Linked DNA regions of Macaca fascicularis. The protein of the gene in region 3 purifies or fractionates together with the protein of the main gene of each other region. This does not show direct contact. Links are inferred from orthologs where the notes say so. Each region holds a gene or a part of one and is shown on either strand. Other genes may lie near its edges. The genes, in order: BTB/POZ domain-containing protein KCTD5, PHLPP1, NHERF2, PHLPP2, LPAR2 and PLCB3.

What was found.
Region 1: the proteins of NHERF2 (region 3) and BTB/POZ domain-containing protein KCTD5 purify together in Homo sapiens (affinity purification with mass spectrometry; 3 studies listed by BioGRID and IntAct, with this or other methods). This does not show direct contact. The link is inferred for Macaca fascicularis from reciprocal best matches to the Homo sapiens genes NHERF2 and KCTD5.
Region 2: the proteins of NHERF2 (region 3) and PHLPP1 purify together in Homo sapiens (affinity purification with mass spectrometry; 3 studies listed by BioGRID and IntAct, with this or other methods). This does not show direct contact. The link is inferred for Macaca fascicularis from reciprocal best matches to the Homo sapiens genes NHERF2 and PHLPP1.
Region 4: the proteins of NHERF2 (region 3) and PHLPP2 purify together in Homo sapiens (affinity purification with mass spectrometry; 3 studies listed by BioGRID and IntAct, with this or other methods). This does not show direct contact. The link is inferred for Macaca fascicularis from reciprocal best matches to the Homo sapiens genes NHERF2 and PHLPP2.
Region 5: the proteins of NHERF2 (region 3) and LPAR2 purify together in Homo sapiens (affinity purification with western blotting; 3 studies listed by BioGRID and IntAct, with this or other methods). This does not show direct contact. The link is inferred for Macaca fascicularis from reciprocal best matches to the Homo sapiens genes NHERF2 and LPAR2.
Region 6: the proteins of NHERF2 (region 3) and PLCB3 purify together in Homo sapiens (co-immunoprecipitation; 3 studies listed by BioGRID and IntAct, with this or other methods). This does not show direct contact. The link is inferred for Macaca fascicularis from reciprocal best matches to the Homo sapiens genes NHERF2 and PLCB3.

What each region holds. Positions count from the first base shown.
Region 1 is NC_088394.1:3,481,181-3,484,680, forward strand, and holds part of BTB/POZ domain-containing protein KCTD5, read left to right. Parts: intron 1-1,381; coding exon 1,382-1,473; intron 1,474-3,295; coding exon 3,296-3,391; intron 3,392-3,500. UniProt on the Homo sapiens protein: Its interaction with CUL3 suggests that it may act as a substrate adapter in some E3 ligase complex. Does not affect the function of Kv channel Kv2.1/KCNB1, Kv1.2/KCNA2, Kv4.2/KCND2 and Kv3.4/KCNC4.
Region 2 is NC_088392.1:17,942,079-17,945,578, reverse strand, and holds part of PHLPP1 (PH domain leucine-rich repeat-containing protein phosphatase 1), read left to right. Parts: intron 1-2,520; coding exon 2,521-2,667; intron 2,668-3,288; coding exon 3,289-3,500. UniProt on the Homo sapiens protein: Protein phosphatase involved in regulation of Akt and PKC signaling.
Region 3 is NC_088394.1:2,797,847-2,801,346, forward strand, and holds part of NHERF2 (Na(+)/H(+) exchange regulatory cofactor NHE-RF2), read left to right. Parts: intron 1-6; coding exon 7-207; intron 208-3,433; exon of another isoform or gene 3,434-3,500.
Region 4 is NC_088394.1:68,692,614-68,696,113, reverse strand, and holds part of PHLPP2 (PH domain leucine-rich repeat-containing protein phosphatase 2), read right to left. Parts: intron 2,758-3,500; coding exon 2,611-2,757; intron 2,214-2,610; coding exon 1,983-2,213; intron 1-1,982. UniProt on the Homo sapiens protein: Protein phosphatase involved in regulation of Akt and PKC signaling.
Region 5 is NC_088393.1:20,065,929-20,069,982, reverse strand, and holds the start of LPAR2 (lysophosphatidic acid receptor 2), read left to right. Parts: upstream 1-1,254; 5' UTR 1,255-1,375; intron 1,376-1,567; exon of another isoform or gene 1,568-1,706; intron 1,707-1,828; 5' UTR 1,829-2,497; coding exon 2,498-3,239; intron 3,240-4,054. UniProt on the Homo sapiens protein: Receptor for lysophosphatidic acid (LPA), a mediator of diverse cellular activities. Seems to be coupled to the G(i)/G(o), G(12)/G(13), and G(q) families of heteromeric G proteins. Plays a key role in phospholipase C-beta (PLC-beta) signaling pathway.
Region 6 is NC_088388.1:10,136,108-10,139,607, reverse strand, and holds part of PLCB3 (1-phosphatidylinositol 4,5-bisphosphate phosphodiesterase beta-3), read left to right. Parts: intron 1-672; coding exon 673-913; intron 914-1,077; coding exon 1,078-1,162; intron 1,163-1,250; coding exon 1,251-1,437; intron 1,438-2,083; coding exon 2,084-2,289; intron 2,290-3,500. UniProt on the Homo sapiens protein: Catalyzes the production of the second messenger molecules diacylglycerol (DAG) and inositol 1,4,5-trisphosphate (IP3).

The DNA.
Region 1 (3,500 bases), about 680 kb from region 3:
AAGGGTGGTATCTCTGTGCCATCACCTGGACTGTGCCTGCTGCTGCCAGCTGCCGTGTTCCATTCTGAGTGGTGGTGGTGCAGGGACGGCACCCACACGCGTGGGCCCAGGCTGGCCTGCCTGTGTGCTGTAGTGCTGGCTTGGCTCAGAACAGCCCGAGGCCTTGCCATGAAGACTGAGGGTTTCTGGGCACCTGCGTGCAGGCGTGGCCCTGCTCCCCGGCGTCCGTGTCTGTGCATCGGTCTGTACTGGGCAGCGTCTCACTCCGTTTTTGCTCTGGGTCTCTGGGCCTCGGCATCTGCCTGCCTCCTCCGAGTTCACGCGGGGCGCGGGGTGACGGGAGCTGTGGCCCAGCCCTGCTCCCGCTCTGAGACTGTGACCCACGCTGCCCACTCCTGTCTTTTTGGCAGGCAATGTCTTTCATATGCGCTCTCTCTGGTCACCTGGGCAGCCCCTTGTGTTCTGCCATGGAGCCGTTTGAGTCCAGGCTTCACTTTATCTCAGTCTGCCCCTAGTGGGATTGGCTCAGAAACAGGCGCTAGACACAAACCGCCTGGGCTCGCTGGCCCGCCTCTAACCCGCCTCCGACGCAGCCACTCGCCCTCGGTGCTGGACAAGGGGGCTGTGCGGGACCCGTGCAGGGCTGGGAAGCCTGTGACTCTGAGGCTCTCATCTCTATCCTGTGTGGCCCTGTGCTATGTAGGTGGCGGGGTGTTGTCCTGAGCTGCCATGTCCCATGTGTGGGTTCCTCTGGAGACCACCCATGAGGAAGCCCTGAGGCTAGACCTGTGGAATCTGCTCTTAAGGCTCTTAAGGGAGGTGTGCAGTCCCTAATGCGGCACATTTAGGATGGCAGACTTTGGGAAGAGCTGGAAGTGACCCTCTCAGCCAGCCACAGTCTTCCCTTTGAATGGGGTAAACTGAGGTGCCAGGTGACTGAGACATATGCACAAGGCTGCAGGCCTGAGCCCCACACAGCACCCCACCCAGTGGCGTGGCCGTGAGCAGGTTCCCAACAGGAAGCCTTGGCCTCCAGGCTTGGAGGGAAAATGCCAGATCCCACCCCTTGCATGCCGTGGCCTCAGTTTAGGCATGCACTGAGCTGCATGTAACCAGCGACTCCATACCTGGCGGGCCACTGGAGGTTGCTCGAAGTTGCCTAGGGTGACCTGAGCTGGAGGTATTTAGTCCACACGTCGGCCCTCTCGCCACAGCCCCTCCACCCATAATCCTGGAACCCCGCAGGGCTAACGTGTCTGCAGGAAGCCTGTTAGGATGGGGCCTGAGCAGCTCACGCTGGGCCGAGCCATGGGTCCTCATTGCAGGGGATTCTTTGGTTTCGTTTGGTTTAGTATAGACAATTTATTTTTCTTTATTCCAGGAGTATTGGAGGAAGCAGAATTTTACAATATCACCTCGTTAATAAAACTTGTAAAGGACAAAATTAGAGAACGAGACAGCAAAACATCACAGGTAAGAGAAATAACTAAGGCTAGAAACTTTTATGGCTGGTGTGAAGGAATGGCTCCCTCTTACTCCCCCGATCGGCTGCCTCCCACATGAGTCCTGCAGTCTGGGGCTCCCCTGCCCTGAGACCCTTGTCCTCTGTCACCACCCCAGTGCCCGCCAGCTCCGTCTACAGCCTCGCCCCAGGGTCCCTTGAAGGATCCGTTCAGCCTGCCCGGCCCAGCCTCTGGGAGCCCCCAAAGGATGGTTGTAAGGCAGTTGGGCATGGGAGACGCGTGGAGGGAAGGAGGGCCCCATGAGGGCTGGTCGGGGAGACCCTGAGGTGGATGGCATCTTGTAGGGAGCAGAGGGTGCCAAGGGCCTGCAGCTAGCATGACTGGAGGGAGACAGCAGAGGGGTCATGTGGATCTGCACAGGCGTCAGAAGGACCTTGGTTTTATTGGGAAGAGGGGCGAGTCGCCACAGACAGACCTCTCACACCTAGCGCAGCCCTTCTGCAGCCCGGGGAGCCCAGGTTGTTGGTGGGCTGTGCCCAGTACCTCCTGTGGAGGGGCCACTGCTGGGCCTTGGGCATCAGTCTTGTCCCTGAGAGCTGAGCCTGCCCCGGCCCCAGCTTAGCATCCTTGGGAAGGCACCAGGAGTGGGTGTGGGCCACACTGTGGCTGTAGCTGCCATCAGAAGTCTCGGTCCACTTAGAGCCCTGGGCCCTATGCAGAGACTCCTAGCCTGGCCGCTCAGGGCCACTGGCCACCTAGCGACATGCCCAGTTCCCCCTCCTGCTGGAGTTCCCTTGGCACCACTGAGGGATCTGGAGGGGCTCCTTATCTGTGGGGCAGGAGCTGTGTCCCACACCCTGGGTCACCTTGTCCAGCCTGCTTTTTTCCCTGTTGTGTGACCGGGCTGTGTGGGTGCTCCCTGCCTCAGTCTACCTGCCCGTATGACGCAGGTGGGTGAGAAATGGTGCAGGTGGGAGAGTCCTTGCAGTCCAGTCTTGCTGTGACACACAGTAGCATCTTACTGTCTTGCAGAAGAAGGCACTCGGTTGTGTGACCTCGAGGCCACTGTGTGCCTTTGTCACTCATACATCCCTGGCATGAGTCACCATCTTAAGGTCAAGGACCAAGGATCCCTGAACCCTTTCTCACTGCTGTGTTTCCATCCAGCTCTGTCTGCAGCCGGAGTCCTCTGTAATGACTGTGTCTGGGACATGGGGCCGCCCTGCCCACTGGGGAGCAGCTCCATGCAGGCGGGTGGCCCTGGTGGCTCACCATCACTTCCAGGACCACAGCTGCCTAGAGGGGCATAGCAAGTGTGCCAGGCAGGTGGGGGATTAGGAGGTGGATGGAGTTTTGGGAAGCAGCGCAGCCTTGGGGAGGCCTGAGTCCAGGCTGCTGTGGAAGTTCAGGAGCCTCTTCTGGTAGCCGGGAGTGAGCTTTGTCTGCCACTGGCTCTCAGGGCCCTGCCTGCCAGAGCCTTTCCTGACCAGTGAATTCAGGGCTGCATGGTTCCTGCGTGCGGAGCAGAAATGGACGCTCTCGTGTCGTCATGTGGAGCCACAGGTGCTCTTGGGATTTCAGGAACATGACTCATTTTATTTTGGAACTTAGAAATAGAAATATTTTTGGAGGCGAACGAGGAAGCAGAAAACAGCAGCTGTTCGGGCCGCGTGTTTTGATTTTGTGGATGTGCTCAGGGTTGCTTTGGGCCTCGTGCCCTGCGCTGAGAACTGGAGAGTGAACCTCAGCCTCCCTGGGTCACCTGGGCTGGGGCCACAGGCAGCAGCGGGACATGGGTGGCCCGCCCTTACTTGTGCCCATTGTTCTTGCAGGTGCCTGTGAAGCATGTGTACCGCGTGCTGCAATGCCAGGAGGAGGAGCTCACGCAGATGGTGTCCACCATGTCTGACGGCTGGAAGTTTGAGCAGGTGAGGGGTCGTGGCCAGGCTGGCGGCAGCCATGCTGCAGCTGAACTTGTACTCACAGTGGCTCAGGGCTCAGTGCTCCTGGAAATGCAGACTTCGCTGCTGGCGTCTT
Region 2 (3,500 bases), on a different chromosome or scaffold from region 3:
TGCCTCAGTCTCCTGAGTAGTTGGGACTGCAGGCGCGCGCCACCATGCTCAGCTAATTTTTGTATTTTTAGTAGAGACAGGGTTTCACCATGTTGGCTAGGCTGGTCTCAAACTCCTGACCTCAGGTGATCCACCTGCCTCAACCTCCCAAAGTGCTGGGATTACAGGTGTGAGCCACCGCACCCGGCCAGAGTGTCATTGTTTTCTATTTTGGCGATTCTTTTAATATCTGGCTGGATTCTCATATCTCTTTCTGTGTTCCATCAGGTGTGCTATTACAAAAGCAGGTACTGTCTGGAACTCTACTGAAATACGAGTGACAGGTGTGGGGAAGAAAGTGGCACAAAGCAAGTAACATCTTAGTATTGTTATAAAAATAGTTTGACCATATGGATCTTCTGAAAGGGTCTCGGGTGCCTCTTCTGGGGTCCCCCAAGCATGCTTTTAGAATCACTGGACTAGGAATAAGAGACTGTAATTCTAGCTTGTGTTTTTGCGGTGATTATAAATAATCAGAATAGAGGGTAGGCTGTTTGTTTTTTGTTTTTTGTTTTTTTTTTTTTTTTGAGATAGAGTCTCGCTCTGTCGCCCAGGCTGGAGTGCAGAGGTATGATCTCGGCTCACCACAACCTCCGTCTCCTGGGTTCAAGCAATTCTTCTGCCTCAGCCTCCTTCATAGCTGGAAGTACAGGTGCCTGCCAACATGGCTGGCTAATTTTTTTTGTATTTTTAGTAGAGACGAAGTTTCACCATGTTGGCCAGGCTGGTCTTGAACTCCTGACCTCAAGTGATCTGCCCACCTTGGCCTCCCAAAGTGCTGGGATTACAGGCATGAGCCACTGCACCCGGCTGAGGATAAGCATTCTTTTAAGAAGGACTGATGGCTCTAATATAAAACAGTTTAAGAACGATTATTCAGATTTAGCAATAATTTTTTCCTAAGTGATTTTTTTTTTTAAAATACTATTCTATTATACTCAGCCATCCAAGTAAACAGGTATTATTTAAAAATCAAGGTAACACTCAACCTGTCAAATAGGTACATTGTCAACTTTCCCTTTAGAATCAACTTTTATTTAACTATTTAGAATACAGCTTAACATATGCTGATTGGGTTGAATTGCGTTTATTTTTGCAGTGTGTGTGTCTCTTCTAGGCAGAGTGCATACTGTCTAGTATTAGATGTGGGTAATCTAGTTTTTAAAGGAATTAGCATAACGCAGTCACTGATCTGATTCTTATCTCATTTAGAGATGGTGTAGAGGTCGTTGATAGGCCAAATGTAAGAGTGCACAGAGAAGTAAAAAATGAAAGATAGCTTCTTTAATTGCTTAAGTTGCTTGGGCAACTGTGAAAATGAAAGGGCTATTAACAAAAATAGAACAAAAAGAAGTGCCAGTTTGGAATAAAGATGGTAAGTTCAGTTTTGGGCTGGAAATGTGGGGTAGCTCAGGAGAGGAGCCAGCATGTGACAGGACTGAGAGAATTGTTCACATAGGAGTCAAAACATTTCCAAGGAAAACAGTGTAGAGAGAGCATGAAACTGATAAAAAAAAAAAAAACTATCTATGAAGATTACTTCAGTTTGAGTTGGGGAAGAAAAGATGAAGAAAAGGAAGTTAATACAGGAGAAGAGGGCTTAAGAGAGCTAAGAAGAAGGGTGGGTGGTCAGCCGCATCAGTCAATTACTGTACTGAGATCGACGAATGATAATTGGTTCTTTTTTGAGATAGAGTCTCACTGTGTCACCAGGCTATATATTCCAGGAGAGCAGTCTCAGCTCACTGCAACCTCCACCTCCCAGAGATTCTCTTGTGTCTCAGCCTCTCGAGTAGCTGAGATTACAGGCATGCACCACCATGCCCAGCTAATTTTTTGTGTTTTTGGTAGAGACAGGGTTTCACCATGTTGTCTAGGCTGGTCCCGAACTCCTGGTCTCAAGTGATCCACTCATCTCGGCCTCCCAAAGTGCTAGGATTACAGGCCTGAGCCACCGTGCCCAGCTGATAATTGGTTGTTAAATTTGGAACTGCAAAGTCCTGGTTACCTTAGAGAGAGTATTGTTTTGATAAGTTTTTATTATTTCACTTTTGGGTTTGAGAAACATGAAACAGAAGTTTTTGACTTGTCTGGAACAGCACAGATTCCAGAAGGACTAACTCCAGCTCTGACTGGTCCCTTTCCTCCTTCACTGGGGCCATTTACACTGTGTTAATTAAGCTAATTGAGATACTGCTAAAAAACTTACTCCAGCAGAATTCACTTCCTGAAATATTCAACCTTATTTTAGAGGGAAAAGTTTGTTTTTAGATAGAATGTTTACATTTTAGGTAGAGCACTGGCCTTAGAGTCAGCAGATGTGCATTCCAGCGCTGCTGCTCCTTAACCTCTCTGGGGCCCCCATTTCCTCTTCAGTTGAATTTGGGAGTTGGGCTAGATTATCTCTTAGGCTATGCTAAAATTATGATGTTAGTGACATTTGTCTCTTTTTTCCCTTTTGGTTTTGCTTTATTTTAATAGGTTCACCAAGTTGAAGAGTCTTAATCTTTCCAATAATCATTTAGGGGACTTCCCACTAGCAGTCTGCAGTATTCCAACCCTGGCAGAGCTGAATGTGTCCTGCAATGCCCTGCGATCGGTCCCAGCAGCCGTTGGAGTGATGCACAAGTGTGTACCTCAAACCCCACTGGCGGGTATATCCAGAGACCCCAGGGAAGCTGCATTGGGGGTGTAGCACATGAGATTAGTTAACTTGTTATGTTGGTCATGTAAGTCTTGGCCCCAAATCAACAGATCAGGGACTGTATAGTCTGTATGGAGTTCATGTGTTAGATTTGTATTCTTTACGATCTTGTAAAAAATTAAATATTCTTGTTTAGAACTGAAGATCCCTGCAAATGAGTATGTCTAAACATGGAATGTGGGTTATGTTCTCATTTTTCTGAGTTATATTGAATTCAAAGACTTAGAAATTAATTTTGAGAAATAATAAGGAAAGCCCAAAGGATATCTGAATCAATTTATATCACAGTTAGCTCATGTTGCTCCCATTTAAGCCTATTCAGATTGGGAAAGCTAGTCATAATTTTCATTTTCAATAAAAGATTAAGATGCTTATCTCTGATTATTTCTCTTTGGTCCGTTATTGCCTCAGGCCCTGCCCTTAGGCATTTTGCAAAGAGTAATACATTTTCTGGTAATACGATCTACACTATGGAACTTGTATGTTGATAATAAAGATGTAAAATTTATACATTCTCTTTGTAATTCTTATGTTTTCTCTAATAGCTTACAGACATTTTTGTTGGATGGAAACTTTCTCCAAACCCTTCCTGCTGAGTTGGAGAACATGAAGCAGCTTAGTTATCTGGGTCTTTCTTTCAATGAATTTACTGACATTCCAGAAGTATTGGAGAAATTGACTGCTGTGGATAAACTTTGTATGTCCGGAAACTGTATGGAGACCCTTAGGCTACAGGCTTTAAGAAAAATGCCTCACA
Region 3 (3,500 bases):
CCCCAGGTGGTGCAGAGGATCAAGGCTGTGGAGGGGCAGACCCGGTTGCTGGTGGTGGACCAGGAGACAGATGAGGAGCTCCGCCGGCGGCAGCTGACCTGCACTGAGGAGATGGCCCAGCGAGGGCTCCCGCCCGCCCACGACCCCTGGGAGCCAAAGCCAGACTGGGCACACATGGGTGGCCGCAGCTCCGACGCTGGCAAGAAGGTATGGCGGGCTCGGCCCGCAGGGACCACCCTCGCCTCTCCCAGAGGCTCTCTCGGCTTTCGACGACCATCTTTGCCTCTGATCACCTCCAGAAGTCTTGGTCTCTTCTGCCTTTTGGGGCCCCTTTTCTGCCCCAGGGACCATCCTGTTGGCTACTGGGGGCCACTCTTTCTACCCTCAGCCTGTGTTTTAAACTGGGTAGGGTCAGGGCAGCCTAGCCTGTTCCTCTTCTCCAGGACGCTCCAGAGCCCCTTGCCCTATCGAGGGGTTACTGTGACAAGCTGCCGCCTCCCCAGCCCCCAGCCTCATGGCTGAGGAGCCCTGGGAATAGACATTCTAGGTCTGCGTGTGCCCAGCTCCGTGCCTGTGTTGGGTGTCATCCGTGGCTCTGTCCTTGTCTCTCTCCAAGGAGCCTGTATGCTGGGAAGGCCTGGGAGAGGGCTGGCCGCCTCTGCAGGTTGGGGAAGCCTAGGAGGCCACTCTGCCAGGCCTGGCATGGGTGGGGCTGGGAGCATGGGAGTGGAGTTGGGGGGTCCAGGTGGCTCCAAGGTGAGCCCACTCCTCCCCTAAATATAAGGGAGGGCCCTGGGACCCTGTCTGCTGTTCCTTCTGGGCTCCTGCTGGGTAGCACTTCCTCCTTCCCCTGCCCCTGCTCCCAGCCAGGAGACCCAGAAAAGTACAGGGGCCGCCTGCTCCACCTCCTGCTAGGTGGCCGCTGGGAGGGGCCACCTGGCAGGCCTTGAGGGCTAGGAGGAACAGCCTGAAACTGTCTGTCCTGTCTTCCTGGAGGCCCTGATGGCATTGTCTCCATGCTCTCCTACCTTTTTTTTCATTTTCAAAGACATCCCTGGCCGGGCACGGTGACTCACACCTGTAATCCCAGCACTTTGGGAGGTCGAGGCAGGCGGATCACCTGAGGTCAGGAGTTTTGAGACCAGCTTGACTAATGTGGTGAAACCCGTCTCTACTTAAACTACAAAAATCAGCTGGGCTTGGCGGCGGGCGCCTGTAGTCCCAGCTACTCGGGAGGCTGAGGCAGGAGAATTGCTTGAATTCGGCAGGCAGCAGTTTCAGTGAGCCAAGATCCTGCCACTGCACTCCAGCCTAGGGGACAGAGCGAGACTGTCTCAAAAGAAAAGAAAAGAAAAGAAAAGAAAAGAAAAGAAATAAATCCCTTCAGGGGATTTGAGTCCAGGGGTTGGCCAGACCCCACTGTGAGAACCGTGCCTGAGGCAGGGGTGTGGGATCTCGAGTTTCTGAGGGTGCAGGGGATCTATATATTCACTTTCTCCCTTTCCCAAGTATCACTCCTGGAGCTGGCTGTGCCTGGGAGCTGAGCCCGGCGGGGGCATGTCTTGGCAGGGAGACGGCATTCCCTGTGGGGAGGGGGCACAGGCCTGGCCATGGGACCTGTGGGACCCGTTTTGTTCCTGGGGCTTGAGGGCAGGCCATGGTCGTGCTCAGGGCCAAGGTGCCCAGCCCAGGGCTGGTTGGGGGGCTGGCCTTGCAGGGGAGCAGGCTGGTCCCAGGCCCCTATCTCCAAGTTGAGGGTTGGGGCCTCCCTCTTTCCCAGGCACCCTGCCTCCCCCAGGAGGAAGCTCCGCCTCTACCTCAGGCGTTTGTCCATTGATTTGGACACAAATGCATGGTTCACCTTCCTGTGGAAAAATCTGGCCCTCGGACTTTATCTGGAGGGTGCGGTGGCCGAGGCACCTTGCCTTGGGTGGGACCTTCCCCCGTCTGCTATTTCAGGCTCTGGGGGCTGCAGGAAGCCCTAGGAGGAGCTTCCTCTGGGTATATTTTTAGAGGAACAAAGGGTGGCCTGAGTGGCAGGTCCCTTTGTGCATGAGTCTGGCTGGGGACAGGGGCTCCAGGAGGTCAGGGGACACCCAAGGAGCAGGGTCTCCCCTTCTGTCTTCTGGCATCGAGACCTGAGGTTTCTTTTTCTTTTCTTTCTTTTTTTTTTTTTTTTTTTTTTGAGACAGAGTCTCGCTCTGTAGCCCAGACTGGGGTGCAGTGGCCGGATCTCAGCTCACTGTAAGCTCCACCTCCTGGGTCCACACCATTCTCCTGCCTCAGCCTCCCGAGTAGCTGGGATTACAGGCGTATACCACCATACCTGGCTAATTTTTGTGTTTTTAGTAGAGACGGGGTTTCACCGTGTTGGCCAGGCTGGTCTGGAACTCTTGGGCTCAAGTGATCTGCCTGCCTCAGCCTCCCAAAGTGCTGGAGTGACAAGCGTGAGCCACCGCGCCTGGCTCGAGCCCTGAGGTTTGTTCACCTGAGCTCCCAGCGTGGACAGGAAGAATTGGGGCTCACTGGACCTCCGCAGAGCAGGTTCAGATCCTGCCCTGCTCAGCCTGGGTTCAGGGTGTGCCTGAGATGCTCAGGGAGCCCAGGAGGGCAAAGCCTACCTTGCGGGGATGGCTCCAGTGGGGGCGGTGGTGGCAGAGAGGCAGAGCCCTGGGAGGGTATGTAGCTTGGCTTTGGTGCAGGATGGAGAGGGCCCAACTCTGGGTGCCCCCTGGGAGCTAAGGGTGGTTCTCAGTGTCCTCTGTCCTGGCTGGGGATAGGGGAGGTGGGCAGGGGAGGACACTGATGTGGTCAGCCACTCCTTTTGGGGGTCATGAACGCCTAGTTAGTGATGACTCAGCCCTGGGCCACAGCAGGCTGGGGGTGGCCGCAGCTGCGGTGCAGCTGATCCTAGTAGTGATGACAGGGGACGGCCCCCAAACAGAGACGGGTGGCCAGCGGTGCCAGGCCCTAGAGGTGGTGGCAGACCCTGAGCCCTCTGCCCCCTGCCCCTAGCCCAGTCTCCACCTCCGTCTGGAGGGCCTTGGGGGCTAAGAGCAGGTGAGGGGTGACAGATCTGCGGGAGGCGGCTGTGTGGTTAGGGCGCGGTGCCTGTGGGGGCTTCCGGGCTCCTATGGCTCTTGTTCCTCTGGAACCTCAGCATGACAGTCCTGTGTTCTGGGGCTGGGACTCCTCCCTGTCCCCCCAGCCCTGGGTCCTGGGGCGGGCAGGGCCTTCCAGCAGCTTCCTTCCTTCCTTTCTTGGGACGGAAACCTAGCTGGGTGGGGGGCGCCGGGCTGGAGCCTTCTAAGGGGAGTGGGCTCAGTCATCACCCTGCTCCCCAGAGTGACTCAGCCCCTGCGTCTCCACCCATCCCCGGGGAGCCGGGGCCGCAGAGGGAGGTAGATAAGTGGGGTGGCAGCCTGGGTCAGCCAGAGAGTTCAGGCCACCCCGGCCGGACGCCTGCCACTCACTGCCGCTGTACTGCTGCCATGGCGCGC
Region 4 (3,500 bases), about 66 Mb from region 3:
TGGAGTGCGATGGCGTGATCTTGGTTCACTGCAACCTCCGCCTCCCGGGTTCAAGTGATTCTCCTGCCTCAGCCACCCAAGTTGCTGGGATTAGAGGCACCCCCACCATGCCCAGCTAATTTTTTGTATTTTTAGTAGGGATGGGGTTTTACCATGTTGGCCAGGCTTGAACTCCTACCCTCAGATGATCTGCCCACCTCGGCCTCCCAAAATGCTGGGATTACAGGTGTCAGCCACCGTGCCCAGCTCCCTTTCTCTGTTTCCTAAACAATTTAAGAATTTCACTACTTGCCTCATTTTGCAAGATACTATATAAATAACTACAGTTGATGAATAACTCAAGGTACAGCTAAGTCAGACAATCCAGATTGGCAAATACATATACAAACTAATAAAGAGAAGGAAAAAAGAGGCCATATCCTGAACAAGTTAAACACTTATATCCAAACACCTAATAAGGTCAGGTGGGCACTAAGTAGGACAAAGGAACAGGAAGATGAACACAACCTTTTGAGTGAGACAGTAGCAAAACAGTCACAACAGTACCATGTCCAGAGTATAAGGATAGAACCATACTTCCTCCTATTGCTATGCCTGCTCTATCTCTAGTGCTAAGGTTCACATAAAATTAATTAACAGACAAGGAAATAATCTGTGTATGTATATATACATATACACACACACATATATACACACACACACACATATACCGAAGAGTTCAAAGGTAAATTATACAAAATGACCTCTGAGTTCTTTTCTGTACAAGTATATGATTTAATTTATGCAGGTCTGTTCTCACTTTCCTGTATTTCTATAAATCTCTCAAGTCTCCAGTGTGGTTAAAAAAACAAAAACAAAAACTCTCTGTTACTGTCTTTACAAGGTCATCAATGGTTTACTGTAAATTACAGAACACCCAATAGGTGTCTTTTTACCAGCTTCAATTAGGAAAAGGTTATGACTAGAAAATAAAACCCTCATAAAAGGTTCTTAGTAATGAAACCTTTAACATTTTAATTGTAATACAATGGATATCAAGAAGAAACCTAATGACTCAACAGAAAAATGTCATTTATGGAAATCTACAAACTACTAACATACATATAAAAAGATGTTCAACCTCACTGCTCTGTAAATAAATGTTGATTAAAACAATGAAATACTTGTTTCAATCTACTAGACTGATGATAAAGAAAAAGAAATGCTAAAATCCAACACTGACAAAGATATGAGAAAATGGGAATTCTCCTACAATGTTGGAGGGGTTGGGCACAGTGGCTTACACCTGTAATCCCAACACTTTAGGAGGCCAAGGCAGGAGGATTACTTGAGCCAGGGAGTTCAAGACCAGCTTGGGCAACACAGTGAGACTCCATCTCTACAAAAAATTTAAAAAATAAAAAATATACATTGATGGGAAGGTGAGCAAAAACAACCTCTGTCCAAGGCAATTTGATAGTCTCTATCACATGGTACAACTACATGATCCTGAATCTCTCTGCTACTGAATGATAACTAAAGTCTTACTATACCTTTGAAAATACACATTTCTATACTGTTCAAAACACCTAATGTTACGGGCCAGGCATGGCAGCTCACACCTGTAATCCCAGCACTTTGGGAGGCTGAGGTGGGTGGACTGCTCGAGTCCAGGAATTTGAGACCAGCCTGCACAACATGGTGAAACCCTGTCTCTACTAAAAATAGAAAAAAAATTAGCCAGGCCTAGTGGTGCGCACCTGAAGTCCCAACTACTTGGAAGGCTGAGGTGGGAGAATCGCCTGAGAACAGGAGGTCAAGACTGCAGTGGGCTGAGATCGTGCCACTGTATTCTAGCCTGAGTGACAAAGTGAGACCTTGTCTCAAAACAACGACAACAAAATTTTAAAAACCCTAATGTCTTAAACAAATCTTCATAAAGAGAAGACATAAAGGTCCAACAGAGTCAATTTAAAGGAAGCTGCGGTAAAGAATAACCTTACCTTAAATCCACATGCTTGATATGGTTCATCCTATTCAGCACCCCTAAGTTCAGGACTTCCAGGCAATTTCCTGCCATAACCACTTTATCTAACATAGTGAGTTTCTCATAAACCTCAGGAATTTGACTAAAGTTGTTGAACGAAATTCCCAAAGAGGAAAGCTGTTGTAGATTTCCCAGTTCTTCAGGTAAAGTAGTCAGAAAGTTGCCATCAAGACAGAGGGTTTGAAGACTACAGGAAGAAAACAAAACAAGTCTACTTTATGGAAGGTTTCACTGGAATGCATAGAATCAGAGTTACGGATTCTGATTTATGTCACTAATTATCAATCCAAAAATAGTAGTGTCCTAACTCTCCATCTATACAGACTTAATAGATGACTTACACATAACTTACACAAATGGTCACCCCAACATTAAAAGAGTTAAGACCTCTGCTGTTGAAGCTGAGGGATCAGTCCCTGCTACAGGCAGGTAGATCTATGATGTCAAAAACTGCTGCTGACTAGAATCCTAGTAAGTACATGATTTATTTCACTGCAAGAGCTCACAGTACTACCTTCATTCCAAACCCCAGGCAAGTTCCTTATCCTGCAAGGGAAAAGATGAATCTAGTAAAAGTTACTTACTTTAGCAGATTGCCAATTTGACTTGGTAGGTCACGAAATCCATTACAGGAAAGGTTGAGCTCAGTCAGGGTAGAGATCTCACATAATAATATAGGAAACAACCCAAGTTTATTATGGGACAAGTTCAGGCCCTTCAGCTGAGAAAATCTAAAGAGCAAAGGCAAAAATGGATACTGCATTTCAATACATCTATTACTATATCTTTACGAGGGACATCAATGGCCTTTGATAATCCATTTTAAATGTCTATAATAGAATTTATTCCAAAAATACTTATTGAGCACTCGCTACACATCAAACATTGAGTGGGGACAGAGGACACCAAGATGACTAATGCACAGTCCATGTGATGAAGGAAACCAGGTCTAGCATTACAGCTCTCTTTTCTCTTTAAAAAGGTAGACAATCTTGAAGAACAGCTCATGCTGGTATAATTCTTTTGTATTTCATCATACTTGATATGCTTGAAATTTTTCATTAAATTTCTACATGTAATACACAAAAGCCTTGCAAGAATTAATCAACTCATAGAGCAACAGCTAACAAATATGTAGATCAAATCCCATTTTTAATAAGCAACTTCTTTTTTCATACTGAAATTATGTTGGCTCAAATGTCACATAAAATGAATAAACCAGTTAGAGCTTGAAAATAATGAATGTGACAGCATTTTACCATTATGTGACCTGATACACAAAATAGTAACTTTTAGAGCTTCTATTTTGTTCATGGAAGTAGAAGTATCTGTATTGTCTTACCCAGAGATGGCATTGTTATAAAATGGATCTCTTGGGTTTCTTCTTGATATCCATTGTATTATAATTAAGATGTTAAAGGTTTCATTAGTAAGAACTTTTTATGAGAGACTCTGGTAATTCCACTAGGGAGTA
Region 5 (4,054 bases), on a different chromosome or scaffold from region 3:
TATTTAATACATGGCCTATGGGAGGCCTAAAACCCTTTCGGGGGCAATGTCCTGGAATCCCCCAACTGGACACAGGTCACTGCCAAGCATCAGGGCCACTCAGGCTCAGAGGTCACTCAGGGTCAATACTCAGGGTCAATACAGGTTATGAGATCCTGGGGGTTCACCCTAGTCTCCCACCCCTGGGACAGGGGTGCTTTTGCTACTTTGGTTGTGGTCACTCCCCCACACCTGCCTGCCCCCTTGGTGGACTCGAAGTGACCTTCCTGGAGGAGGTGGGCAGTGCAGACTCCACATCCTGGTGGTGCCTGGGGTCTGATGGCCTCTAATAAACTCTGTCCTGTATGCCCTTGGGTGCATCTCTGCTAGGGGAGAGGCCAGCACGGGCAGCACTCCTTTCCCCCGTTTTACCGATCACGGGAATCAAGACCTCTTTTTTTTTTTTTTGAGACAGAGTCTTTCTCTGTCGCCCAGGCTGGAGTACAGTGGTGCAATCTCGGCTCACTGCAACCTCTGCCTCCCGCGTTCAAGCGATTCTCTTGCCTCAGCCTCCCGAGTAGCTGGGACTACAGGCGCACGCCACCACGCCCAGCTAATTTTTTTGTATTTTTAGTAGAGACGGGATTTCACCATGTTGGCCAGGATGGTTTCGATCTCCTGATCTCGTGATCCGCCCGCATCGGCCTCCCAAAATGCTGGGATTACAGGTGTGAGCCACTGCGCCCGGCCTCAAGGCCTCCTTCTTGCATCATCAAACACCCTGCAGCATCTACCTAAAGGCAGTTGGGGCTGGGCCGCAGCACCCGGCTGAGTCACGCCAGCCCGGCCCTCCCGGAGCTCTGCGTCCCCGATCTGGTCCTGCATAATCAAATACAGTATAACAAAGTGCAGATAACCGGGACAATGGGGCTGTGTGCTCCGGACCGTGGGAGCCCGGGGCCGCCGCAGGGAGGCGGAGGGAGGAAGCCACAGGGCAGGGCAGGGCCGGGCTTTGCAGGGGGCAGCGCTGTCCCAGGGTGAGGGGTACGGGGGCGGGATTGCAAAACCCTAGTTTGCGCCCGATGATCAGCTGGGGCCGCAGGCGTGGGCCTCGCACAGGAGGCCGCGGCGCGCTGTAGCTGCGAGCTGGGAAAGCCGAGGATGGGCGGGGGTCCGGGCGGTGGGAGCCAAGTCGGATCAGGGAGTGGCTTGTAACTCGGCGGCCCATTGGACACGAAGAAGAGAGCGGGGTGGGGCTGGGAGGGTTGGGGGTCCGGAGAAGGGGCGCGGACCCAAGACCACCTGGAGCTCCGCCCGGGCTGCGCGGAGTCGCGGCGGGAATTTTGGGGTCGCCGGGTGACTCAGCCCCGCAGGCTCGAAACTGCGGGCGCGTGAGGTGTGCAGGGGCCGGGGTGGGGGTCCCGCGCCGGAAATAGAGGCGACCGAGGGGCCGCGAGGCGGGGAGGAAATAGGGGGGCTGCGGTTCCGGGCGACACCGCCCCCGACGCGGCCGCGGAGGCGGGGCTCCCCCAGGTGGCAGGGCGGGACTCCCCCAGGTGGCAGGGGCGGGGCGCCGGGGAGACCCCGCCTCCCGCGCCCTCTCAGCAGCCCACGCAGGGCGCACCCGGACGCTCCACCGCTCCCGCCGCGGTCGCCGGGCCATGGGCCTCGAGCCCGCCCCGAACCCCCGCGAGCCCGCCTTATCTGCGGCGTGACGGGAGGCCCAGGTGAGGCCGGCACGGACGGGAGGCGGGCGGGTGCGGGCCTGGGCCGGGGGGAAGGGCGCGGCACGTGCCTGCGGGGCCAGGACGCCGCCCCCTGATCCCTGAACCCCCTACCCCTTCCCCAGTCTGGAGACGCCTGGAGGCCCGGCCAGCTGTCCCTTCCCCAACCGCTGTCTTTGTCCCGGAGACCGCCAGTGTCCTCCGTCCCACCCGGAACAGCCTATTGCCCCGCCCGCTTGGGAAGCACTCGCGCCCAAATCCGGCAGACCAACTTCTGGGACCGACTCTCTGTCCACTCCGATCACCTCCACGCCTCGGCACCGCTCCCTCGCAGGGTCCTAGCAAGTGACCTCACTCTTGTGGGCACATGCTCCCGGGTCTCTGCTCCCCACACTGACTCCAGCACCTAAGTGACCCTCCCTCATCTCGTCCCGCAGCTCACACCCCTTTGTCTTGCCTCTCCCTACAGCCCAAACCGGGTCACACATTGGCGGCAGGTGGGCTGGGATTCGACCATACATGGGTTTTGTTTCACTTCTTCTGGTTCAAAACCCTGTTGACTTGGGTTATGTCTTGACACAGGTCTTATTAGTAGGTAAGAAACAGCAGCTCCTCCACCCCCACCCCAGCCCCATGGAGCTTGCTTTTTCCAGGCTACCGTGGTCCTCACCACTGCCACTTTGCTCTGAGGCATCTGAATTCAAGACCCTTGTCCTTCCTTGTCCTCTGTAGCTGCCGCCCCTCCCTGTGTCCTTCCAAGAAGCGCCACATGCACTGATCTCTTGTGTCCCCAGATGGTCACCATGGGCCATTGCTACTACAACGAGACCATTGGCTTCTTCTATAACAACAGTGGCAAGGAGCTCAGCTCTCACTGGCGGCCCAAGGATGTGGTCGTGGTGGCACTGGGGCTGACCGTCAGCGTACTGGTGCTGCTCACCAATCTCCTGGTCATAGCAGCCATCGCCTCCAACCGCCGCTTCCACCAGCCCATCTACTACCTGCTAGGCAACCTGGCCGCAGCTGACCTCTTCGCGGGCGTGGCCTACCTCTTCCTCATGTTCCACACTGGTCCCCGCACAGCCCGACTTTCACTTGAGGGCTGGTTCCTGCGGCAGGGCTTGCTGGACACAAGCCTCACTGCGTCGGTGGCCACACTGCTGGCCATCGCTGTGGAGCGGCACCGCAGTGTGATGGCCGTGCAGCTGCACAGCCGCCTGCCCCGTGGCCGCGTGGTCATGCTCATTGTGGGCGTGTGGGTGGCTGCCCTGGGCCTGGGGCTGCTGCCCGCCCACTCCTGGCACTGCCTCTGTGCCCTGGACCGCTGCTCGCGCATGGCACCCCTGCTCAGCCGCTCCTATTTGGCCGTCTGGGCTCTGTCGAGCCTGCTTGTCTTTCTTCTCATGGTGGCTGTCTACACCCGCATTTTCTTCTACGTGCGGCGGCGAGTGCAGCGCATGGCAGAGCACGTCAGTTGCCACCCCCGCTACCGAGAGACCACGCTCAGCCTGGTCAAGACTGTCGTCATCATCCTGGGTGAGTGGGGCCCTCAGGGGGCAACAGGCACCCTGCTTCCCCCTGTTTCCCACAAGATGCTTCGAAGCAATTAACAAAACAAGCTACCTGATAGAGGGTGATAGGGGGAAGACTTAGGTGGGGAATGTTCTCCAGGGAGGTCATATATGAGCAGAGGCCTGAATGCTGAGGATAGGAACAGAGAGAGTTCCAGGCAGAGGAAACAAAGTAAAAACCTAAAGGCAGTACCAGGCCAGAGCCTCTAAAGAGGAAAGCGGGCTTGTGAGGAGGAGAGTTCGGCAAGGCCTTAAGGGGCACAGACAGGAGTCATATTTTGAGTTTCGTGGGAAGCCCTTGAGAGTTTTTAGCAGTGCTGGCCGGGTGCAGTGGCTCACGCCTGTAATCCCAGCACTTTGGGAGGCTGAGGCGGGCGGATCAACTGAGGTTGGGAGTTGGCAACCAGCTTGACCAACATGGAGAAATCCCGTCTCTACTAAAAATACAAAATTAGCCAGGTGAGGTGGAGGTTTTTGAAACTCCATCTCAAAAAAAAAAAAGTTTTTAGCAGTGCTAAGCCTGGTTTAACAAAAAGCCTTTAAATTATTTTTTAATCTATATGTATTTTTAAATTATTATTATTATTATTATTATTATTATTTTGAGACTGAGTCTCGCTCTGTCACCCAGGCTGGAGTGCAGTGGCGCAATCTCGGCTCACTGCAACCTCTGCCTCCCAGGTTCAAGTGATTCTCCTGCTTCAGCCTCCTGAGTAGCTGGGACTACAGGTGCATGCCACTACGCCTGGCTAATTTTTGTATTTTTGGTAGAGATGGGGT
Region 6 (3,500 bases), on a different chromosome or scaffold from region 3:
AAGAGGTGATGTGATCTGATATGATATGTTCTTAGAAGGATGATTCCAGGTGCTCTGTAGAGACTGGATTCAGGCCAGGAGCAGTGACTCACGCCTGTAATCCCAGCACTTTGAGAGGCTGAGGTGTGTGGATCACCTGAGGTCAGGAGTTTGAGACCAGCCTGGCCAACATGGTGAAACCCTGTCTCTACTAAAAATACCAAAATTAACCAGGCATAGTGGTGGGCACCTGTAATCCCAGCTACTAGGGAGGCTGAGGCAGGAGAATCGCTTGAACCAAGGAGGCGGAGGTTGCAGTGAGCCAAGGTCCTGCCACTGCACTCCAGCCTGGGTGACCGAGTGAGATTCGGTCTCAGAAAAAAAACAAAGACAGAGAGATTGGATTGGAGGCAGGGAGGCCTGAGCCTTCCACACAGGAAGTGGTGTGAGCTGTGCCAGGGCCGAGATGGGTGGAGGGAGGGAGGAGAGGGGCGATTGTTGAGTCAGTGGGGAGCTATAGTGAGCCTCGGGGATGACTCCCCCAGCTCACGCTGGTGGGATGGTCAGGTGGTGGGTATCCATCTGAGAGATGGAGAGCCCTCTGCAAATCCAGCATGGCCTGGTTCCGGGTGGGGCCGGGATGGTGAGGAGCTGGGCTGGTGGGCGGCCTTGGTGACAGAGCCTTGCCCCTAGCTGGGCAGCTGGCCGGGACCTCGTCGGTGGAGATGTACCGCCAGGTGCTGCTGTGGGGCTGCCGCTGTGTGGAGCTGGATGTGTGGAAAGGACGGCCGCCCGAGGAGGAACCCTTCATCACCCATGGCTTCACCATGACCACGGAGGTGCCTCTGCGCGACGTGCTGGAGGCCATTGCCGAGACTGCCTTCAAGACCTCGCCCTACCCCGTCATCCTCTCCTTCGAGAACCACGTGGACTCGTGAGTGAGCCCCTGGCATGAAACCCCATGGACCCAGGGACAGCCCTCCCGCCTCAGCGCTGTTGGACTGCTCAGGGACCTCCAACCCTGTGAACCGCCACTGACCTGTCCTGTAGACCCCAGTTTCCCCTAGGGACCTCTGATCTCTGACCTCGGCTCCGCAGGGCAAAGCAGCAGGCAAAGATGGCTGAGTACTGCCGCTCCATCTTTGGAGATGCGCTACTCATCGAGCCTCTGGACAAGTACCCGGTACGGGGGCTCAGAGCGAGGGTGGGGGTATGCGGGCCACGGTGCTGTGGACCTGGTCCAGGGCCCTGACTCGTCCATGCCTGCCCAGCTGGCCCCAGGTGTTCCCCTGCCCAGCCCCCAGGACCTGATGGGCCGTATCCTGGTGAAGAACAAGAAGCGGCACAGACCCAGCACAGGTGGCCCAGACAGCGCCGGGCGCAAGCGGCCGCTGGAGCAGAGCAATTCGGCCCTGAGCGAGAGCTCCGCTGCCACTGAGCCCTCCTCCCCGCAGCTTGGTAGGCCCCAGCCTGGCCCGCCACCCTGACCTGACCCCAGCCTCTGGCCTCATGCTGTCGGCGCTGTGACACTTCATCCCAGACCCCCAGCCCACCCTCCCGCCTCGCTGTGCACCTGTTCCCACAACTGGCCTCTCTCCTCACCACCTGTTGGCTGGTGTGGGGCCTCTGACCCCTGACCTCAGGTGCATGCCTCACCGAGCTGCATTGAGTCCACCTGCCCAGTTAGTTATCATTTCAGCTCACCTCTGACCTCTTACCCCTGACGATTCACCTCACTATGCCCCCTCCTTAGACATGGCTGTGACTTACCCGTGACCTGTAACCCCTCTGTGTCATCTCTTACCCCGCTATTAAGGCTGGGGTACCCTACTTCCTGACTTCTCACCCTACTGAACCACCCTATCTGCCTCCCTGCTGAATATCACCCCAGACCTTTACCTTTGACCTATGACCCCTCTCAACCACTACTGGATTTAATACTGTCTGACCCCTGACCTCTTGGCCTCTCCCCAAGCCACACTTCTCTGAGAGTACCCCTTGAATTCCCCATTGAGTCACCTGCACACACTGGGAAAAACCCCTCCACGCTTCCTAAGCAGCTGTGTGGTCCTGACCCCTGACCTTGTGGCCCTGTCCTCTGCAGGGTCACCCAGCTCTGACAGCTGCCCAGGCCTGAGCAACGGGGAGGAGGGGGCCCTTGAGAAGCCCAGCCTGGAGCCTCGGAAGTCTTTGGGTGAGGAGGGCCTGAACCGGGGCCCCTATGCTCTTGGACCTGCTGACCGTGAGGATGAGGAGGAAGATGAGGAAGAGGAGGAGCAGACAGACCCCAAAAAGCCGACCACAGATGAGGTCAGGCCCAGAGGGCGGGCAGGTCGGGGAGGTAGCATCTATTTACCTCCCAAGCAGTTTATTACCTCCACTGGGGGCTGAGGGTCTGACCACCACCAAGACCGACATCACCCTGCGCCCTGGGGCTCAGTGTGGGTGTGAGTGAAGGTGGGAGGAGGGGTCTTCAGTCATCAGGAATGGAAACAAGCATACAGTTCTCCTGGTGATGTGGCCTGGGAGGTGTGAGTTAGGGCACAGAACTGGCAGAGGGCAGCCCTGGGCAGGGAGGTGGGGCTGGCAGAGCTCAGGAAGGGGGACAGCATGTGCAAAGGTCCTAGGGCAGAGCCAGGGGGTGCAGGAGCGGGGAGCGTTGAGTAGCTGTGAGGAGTGGTATAGAAAAAACCAGTCTGGGCCGGGCGCGGTGGCTCAAGCCTGTAATCCCAGCACTTTGGGAGGCCGAGACGGGCGGATCACGAGGTCAGGAGATCCAGACCATCCTGGCTAACACGGTGAAACCCCGTCTCTACTAAAAAATACAAAAAACTAGCCGGGCGAGGTGGCGGGCGTCTGTAGTCCCAGCTACTTGGGAGGCTGAGGCAGGAGAATGGCGTGAACCCGGGAGGCGGAGCTTGTAGTGAGCTGAGATCTGGCCACTGCACTCCAGCCTGGGCGACGGAGCGAGACTCCGTCTCCAAAAAAATCTGAGCCGGGCATGGTGGCTCACACCTGTAATCCCAGCTACTCGGCAGGCGGAGGTACGAGAATCCCTTGAACCTGGGAGGTGGAGCTTGCAGTGAGCTGAGATCGCGCCGTTGCTACGATTTTGTAGCCTGGGCTACAAAAGGAGACTCTGTCTCAAAAAAAAAAAAAAAAAAAAAAAAAAGACATTGCTATAAAGACAATTACTGGGGCAATTAGTGAAATTTAAAGATGAACTACATATTAGATAATATGTCAATGTTTTGTTTCCTGAATTTAATTATTGTATTGGAGTTATATAAGAGAATGTCCATATATGCTGAAGTATTTATGGGTAAAGGGTCATGATGTCTGTAATTTACTCCCAAATGATTCAGTAAAAGTAATAATTTTAACACCTATATGTGCTGGGCGAGGTGGCTCACACCTGTAATCCCAGCACTTTGGGAGGCCGAGGTGGGCGAGTCACCTGAGGTCAGGAGGTTCAAGACCAGCCTGGCCAACATGGTGAAACCCCCTCTCTACTAAAATTA